Linked DNA regions of Ovis aries. The protein of the gene in region 1 purifies or fractionates together with the protein of each later gene. This does not show direct contact. Links are inferred from orthologs where the notes say so. Each region holds a gene or a part of one and is shown in the gene's direction. Other genes may lie near its edges.

Region 1 (2,908 bases):
TTGGCTCTCTGCCCAGCTCAGGTGGAGGATGGAGGCAAGGAGGAAGTTGCCCCCACACCCAGCTTCCAGGAGCCATTAGCCTAGCCAAGCGCCCCCAACCTGGCCAACCCCCTAGCCCCAAGAAGCCAGGCTTGGCTGCCCTGTGCCAGGCCCCCTACTTTTTTGTCCAGCTTCATTAACTCTCCGGAATGGGCTCAAGGTCCCTGGCGTGGGGGAGGGGGACTCTAAAACACTTCCCCAGGCAGATAGGGTTGGTCTAAAACACTTCCCCAGGCAGATAGGGTTGGTCTGCTGCCCAGCAGCTAAACCCCCTTGGCCTTGGGGAAAGTAGATAGAGACCCAGGACCCATCCCCTTCCTGTCCCTCCGGCCCTGGGAACAGGAGTGGTCCCCTCCAGCCTCCCAGCCCTTTTCCAATCCTAGCCCCTGGCTGTGCCTCCTACACCCCGCCAAGCCAGAGTCAGGAGACCTGCCCTCCTGGGGTCACCTCCACCCCCAGTGCCCCCAAAGCCTACAGAAGCTTGGAGAAGGTGGAGGGTGGGCTGAGGCCGGGATGTCTGGGTTTCTGCCCAGAACATGCTGGAACTGGGCTTCTCCAGTCCTCACCCCATCCCCCTATCTCCCACAGACATGATCAGCGTGCGTTCAGGGGGTGGCCGCCCTGGCTCCGGTCCCCAGCTGGGTACTGGCCGAGGGACCCTCCGGCTCCGATCCCGGGGTCCAGCCACAGTAGAGGATCTGGTGAGTGTGCCAGCCGAGCCTAAGTCCCTCCCCGCTCCACCCCCCACCACCACTTTCCTGTGAAATTCATAGGTGGCAGCATCACTCTTAGCTGAGGGCCTCTGGGCACTGGATGTCCATCCACCTCTGCCACCTCCCAGCTCTGGGACCTTCCTTAGGCAAGTGGACCTCAGTTTCCTAATCTGTGAAACTTTTGGGGTTGTCATGAGGAAGAACCGTGGGTTTCTATACCAAAAGTGGTGTAAAAAAAAATTTGCACTCAGCGTTCAGTATAATTACAGGTATATTCACATTATTATAATGTCGTCTTCCCTCTTTCCGCCCCCAGCCTTCAGCCTTTGAGGAGAAGGCCATTGAGAAGGTGGATGACCTGTTAGAGAGTTACATGGGCATCAGGGACACAGAGTTGGGTAAGTGAGGAGGGGGTCATCAGGGTCTGGGGATGGGTGGGAGTGTGGGAGAAAGGGGCTTGCAGGTCCTGGGGGGCCAAGTCTACCCTGAGCCCCTCTGTCATCTGTGCCTCCATTCTGCTCCCCTGTCCTTCCCCCTCCAGCGGCCACCATGGTGGAGCTCGGAAAGGACAAAAGGAACCCGGATGAGCTGGCTGAGGCCCTGGATGAACGGCTGGGTGACTTCGCCTTCCCGGATGAGTTTGTCTTTGACGTCTGGGGTGCCATCGGGGACGCCAAGGTTGGCCGCTACTAGGCCTTCCGCTGGACCTCGAGATGACTTGGGCCAGGCCCGGTGGGAGCCTCTGGGGCGGAGACACCGTAGCCTGGACCCCAGTGTCTGGCTCTGGCCCAGCTCAGTAGCCTGGAGATGATGCGGAGCGGAGGTGGGGCTGGGCCTCTGCCCCTCCTCCAATCGGTACCACCCCCTCGCCAGTTCCCAGCCTGGCTGGGGCGCCCAGCCCCCCACCCCCGCCCTCCTCCCCACCTACCTCAGCCAGGGTCAGGCACAGCGGTGGAGAGGGACCAGCCAGATTGGGTGGCCACCCCCACCTCCCTGCCCCCAATACTTTCCGCCTCAGCTGCCAAACTGGTCCCTCCTATCTCCCTGGGGCCTCGGGTTCTGTTTGGGGGTCGTGACCTCCCTAGTTTCCTGATGCAGGGAATGCAGGAGGGGGGTGTGTCCCCCCCCTCAGCAAATGCAATAATGCCCTCCTCTTCCACCACCCCCCCCCCATCTCCCCAGAGGAGCCCCCTCACTGTGGAGTCTGTTACCTCCGCATTTGAAACACTAGTCTGCTGTGAAACCCCCCCAAACTCCCTCCCTCCCCAGCCCCGCTCGTGTCTCCCTCAGCTCAGCCCCAGACTGAAGGGGCAGGAGGGAGGGATGATGGTGGTGGGCTTTTGTACCTGAATTTGCTGTCTGGAACATAAAGAATCTATCTGCTGTTGGATCTGTGTGTTGGCTTCGGGGTGGGAGAGGAGGGTGGGTCAGGGCTGGGAAAGAATGTAGCAGCTGAAATCCATCCTCTTCGGGCTCCAAATTGAATTAAGAGCTGGCCCCAGCCACCCGCCCCCTCCCACCCGGTCCGCCTGATGAGGCTCTTGGCTGCAAGCCACCAGGCTTCCAGGCAAGGCCGGAGCTTCTTCGTCTACTCAGGGTGCAAATCTTGCTCCCTTTCGAACAAAGCTTCCCGCCACCCTCTGGCCTGATGTGAACAGTGGGCAAGAGGCAGTGGGCCCTTGTCTGTTCTGACCCAGTGGCCCGGAGAGCCCCCAGGCCAGAAAGTGAAAGCGTTACTCGCTCAGTCCTGTCTGACTCGTTGCGACCCCGTGGACTGTATATCCTGCCAGGCTCTTCTGCCCATGGAATTCCCCAGGCAGGGATACTGGAGTGGGTTGCCGACCCAGGGATCGAACCCCAGTCTTCTGCATTGTAGGCAGATTCTTTGCTGTCTGGGCCAGAAGGCATGGAGAAAGAAAGATGGGGTGGGCTTCAGATGGGGTCTCAGCCTGCCCCAGTCAGTGCTGATAGGGAGGAACCCACCCCAAGGCTCGGCGTTTTTGGGGGAGCAGTCACGATGCACCCTCACCCACCCATGCCCCCTGCTCCGCCAAGGCTGACTCTGGATGTGTGGGGTCTGCCAGCGTCCAGGGCACACCATACTTGTGTGCTGGATGTAATAAACCTGGAGTGCTTGTTTTGACAACCCACTTCAT
Region 2 (3,781 bases), on another chromosome or scaffold:
GGCAAAGCCACGGGAATACTAACTTTGACTTCGGCCAGCACCTTGTTTCAGTAACATGGATGTTGCTTCTCTGCTGTAAGCAACTACTGTGAGCAAGACATACCCTAACAGAGCATACAGCCTAGTGGGGCAATGGAACCCTCCCCCCAAAACCAAAATAAATATGTAGGGACATTTTGTATTGGTTGATGATAAATGCTATGGAGAAAAATTAAATTAGGAGGGGGCTCGAGATGTTTATTGCTTTATTTAATTTTTAAACTTTTTATTTTGTATCGGGGATAGCTGATTAACAATGTGATAGTTTCAGGTGAACAGCAAAGGGACTCAGCCAGACATATACGTGTATCCATTCTGCCCTGAACTCCCCTCCCATCCAGGCTGTCACATAACATGGAGCGGAGTTCTCAGTACTATACAGTTGGTCCTTGTTGGTTATCCATTTTAAACATAGCAGCATGTACATGTCCATCCCAAACTCCCTAACTGTCCCTTCCCTGCAGTAACTATAAGTTCATCGGTTTTGTGAGTCCTTTGCTTGGACTAAGCATCATTATTTCCGTCACTTCATCAGCATCATCTCATTTAATCCTTACCAGAGCCCACTGAGGATAGATGTTTATCCATCATGAACAATCCCAGGCTCCAGAGATCCCACAGCTGCTAAAGTGAAAGGGAAAGAAGTTGCTCAGTCATAATCCAGTTCTTTGTGACCTCCTGGACTACACAGTCTGTGGAATTCTCCAGGCCAGAATACTGGAGTGTGTAGCTGTTCCCCTCTCCAGGGGATCTTCCCAACCCAGGGAGCGAACCCAGGTCTCCCGCATTGCAGATGGTTTCTTTTACCAGCTGAGCCACAGGGAAGCCCTAAGGGTGCAGATTAAAAGCCCAGGTCTGATGATCCCAGAGCCAGATTTTCTCTGACACTCCAGACTTGGTGGTAGGTGACAGCCTCCCCAAGGCCCAGGTACACACCCTGCCAAGCATATCTCTGTAATTTAGTTAGTGTCAATAAATAGAAACTTCCTACCTTATTTCCTGAGACTTTGCTGAAGAAATACAATATAATTCATTATCATTTCCTTTATACAGTTTAATTTATTTTTATTTTCTTTAGGAAAGGGAAATGGGCAGGTGAATTTTTTTGGCAGGACTGCCGATTTGATAGACTAGTATATCTGTTGACTTAGTCATACATTAGACAAGATGAAAGTGTAATTCCACTAAAAATGTCCTGTCTTTGCTTGTTCATTTAAGACAACTAAGAAAATCTGCTTTCATTTATCTGTAACAGGAAGGCAGCAAACTCTGTAAAACAAGGCACAGCTGGGGTGAGGAAGGGGGCCAACATATGGGGTTATTTCCATCAGAAAGAAATGTGTTCATCCTCTTAACCCTAATCCTCTACTTAGGTATATGTACTTTGTCGCCTATGGGAGGTTTTTAATTATCCGTTATTTTTCAAAACACATCCTACTTGTTTAGATGACTTTCTTTTTCTGCTGTTTCAATTGCTGTCTACATTGGTAACACATAGTTGGACACCAAGAGCCATAAATTAGCTTGAGTCAGTTGTTTAAAGTGTTGGCATTTTTTCAGATTGCTTAAAGAGTTGTTCAAAAGAACGTGAATTATGACCGAACCTCAACCTTTAATTTTCAGGGGATGAGAGAGAAATGATTTCATGGTGTTCTTCTGAACGATTGTTTAAAAGAGGCTGAAAGAGACCCGACTCAAAAATCTTATTTCATATAAACAGTTTGATGAAAAATGGGTTCAACTTGGGAACAAGGAAACGGGTCTGATTATCAAGGGTACGTTCCCCTCGGTTTATGTATTTTATTTGGAAGGGAGAGAGTGGAAATGGTTTTTAGACACAAAGAGATTTCTGCTGGAGGGCTTTCCTGGTCTTTGGTTACACGCATTGGGTCATTTAACACTGTTTTTCTAAATCATTTTCAACTTCTCTTTTGACTTAGCAGCAGTCCCAGTAAGTTAGTTGAATCAAGAAAAGTCCAGTTAAAAGGAGATGTTCAAAACCCCAGTTGTCATTCAGTCAATAAGTCATGTCTGACTCTTTGTGACCCCATGGACTATAGCACTGCAGGCTTCCCTGTCCTTCACCATCTCCCGGAGCTTCCTCAGACTCATGTCCATTGAGCCTGTGATGCCGTCCAACCATCTCATCCTCTGCCACCTCCTTCTCCTCCTGCCTTCAGTCTTTCCCAGCATCATGGTCTTTTCCAATGAGTCATCTTTTTGCATCAGGGGGCCAAAGTATTTTTGTAGCTTCAGCTTCAGCATCAGTCCTTCCAAAGAATATTCAGGGTTGATCTCCTTTAGGACTGACTGGTTTGATCTCCTTGCAGTCCCAGGGACACTCAAGAGTCTTCTCCAGCACCACAGTTTGAAAGTATCAATACTTTGGCACTCAGCCTGCTTTATGGTAAAACCCAGGACATCGGATAATTCTATCATGCTGATTTGTATTTCTATGGATGGTGGAGAGGCTTTCTACCTGACTTAGACTGTGATTGGGATGTCATGGAATTTGGGGAGAATCAGCCAGGTGAATCAGACCCCAGATTTCAGTGGTTGGTTTCTGTCGATTATGCCTGGCTTGTTGTCTCCATGTCAGGGGTGAAGGTTTCCCAGGCTTCTTTTCTTTGTGGCTTGGGACAACATTCTGCCTCTTCTTGGGAGCCCACCCTCACCTCCTGTTCTTTATCTTGCACAGTGCCTTCTCCCAGTGCCTTGCTGGTCGACAATCCCACACCCTTTGGAAACGCGAAGGAGGTGATTGCAATCAAGGACTACTGCCCAACCAACTTCACCACCCTCAAGTTCTCCAAGGGCGACCACCTGTATGTCCTGGACACGTCGGGCGGGGAGTGGTGGTACGCGCACAACACCACGGAGATGGGCTACATCCCCTCCTCCTACGTGCAGCCCTTAAACTACCGGAACTCCACCCTCAGCGACAGCGGGATGATTGACAATCTTCCAGACAGCCCGGATGAAGTCGCCAAGGAGCTCGATTTGCTCGGGGGGTGGACGGATGCCAAGAAGGAATCCAGCAAAGCCTACAGTAATAATCCTTTCTGGAGCGGAGTCCAGACGAACCCATTTCTCAACGGGAACATCCCGGCGATGCCCAGCGTGGACGAGCTGACGCCCAGAAGCGCCGTGGACTTGCTCCTCTTCGACACGGGGACGTCCTCCTTCACCGAGTCCAGCTCGGCGACCACCAACAGCACCGGCAACATCTTCGATGAGCTGCCGGCCGCCGGCCGCGTCCCTGCGGAGCCGCCCGTCAAGCGGGACAACCCTTTCTTCCGAAGCAAGCGTTCCTACAGCCTCTCGGAGCTCTCCGTGCTCCAGGCCAAGTCCGATGCGCCCGCGTCCTCAGGGTTTTTCACGGGCTTGAAATCGCCAGCCCCCGAGCAGTTCCAGAGCCGCGAGGACTTCCGGGCCGCCTGGCTGAGCCACCGGAAGCTGGCCCGGTCTTGCCACGACCTGGACCTGCTGGGCCAGAGCCCTGGGTGGGGCCAGACCCAGGCGGTAGAGACGAACATCGTGTGTAAGCTGGACAGCTCAGGGGGCGCCGTCCAGCTGCCTGACGCCAACATCAGCATCCACGTGCCCGAGGGCCACGTGGCTCCCGGGGAGATGCAGCAGGTCTCCATGAAGGCTCTGCTGGACCCCCCGCTGGAGCTCAACAGCGACCGGTGCAGCTCCATCAGCCCAGTGCTGGAGGTGAAGCTGAGCACCCTGGAGGTGA

What was found. The genes of interacting proteins can lie anywhere in the genome.
Region 2: the proteins of GIPC1 (region 1) and SH3BP4 purify together in Homo sapiens (affinity purification with mass spectrometry; 4 studies listed by BioGRID and IntAct, with this or other methods). This does not show direct contact. The link is inferred for Ovis aries from reciprocal best matches to the Homo sapiens genes GIPC1 and SH3BP4.

Annotation. Positions count from the first base shown.
Region 1 is NC_056058.1:9,615,464-9,618,371, forward strand, and holds the end of GIPC1 (PDZ domain-containing protein GIPC1), read left to right. Parts: intron 1-627; coding exon 628-740; intron 741-1,068; coding exon 1,069-1,150; intron 1,151-1,293; coding exon 1,294-1,445; 3' UTR 1,446-2,142; downstream 2,143-2,908. UniProt on the Homo sapiens protein: May be involved in G protein-linked signaling.
Region 2 is NC_056054.1:6,061,975-6,065,755, reverse strand, and holds part of SH3BP4 (SH3 domain-binding protein 4), read left to right. Parts: intron 1-1,662; 5' UTR 1,663-1,770; coding exon 1,771-1,814; intron 1,815-2,369; coding exon 2,370-2,446; intron 2,447-2,737; coding exon 2,738-3,781. UniProt on the Homo sapiens protein: May function in transferrin receptor internalization at the plasma membrane through a cargo-specific control of clathrin-mediated endocytosis.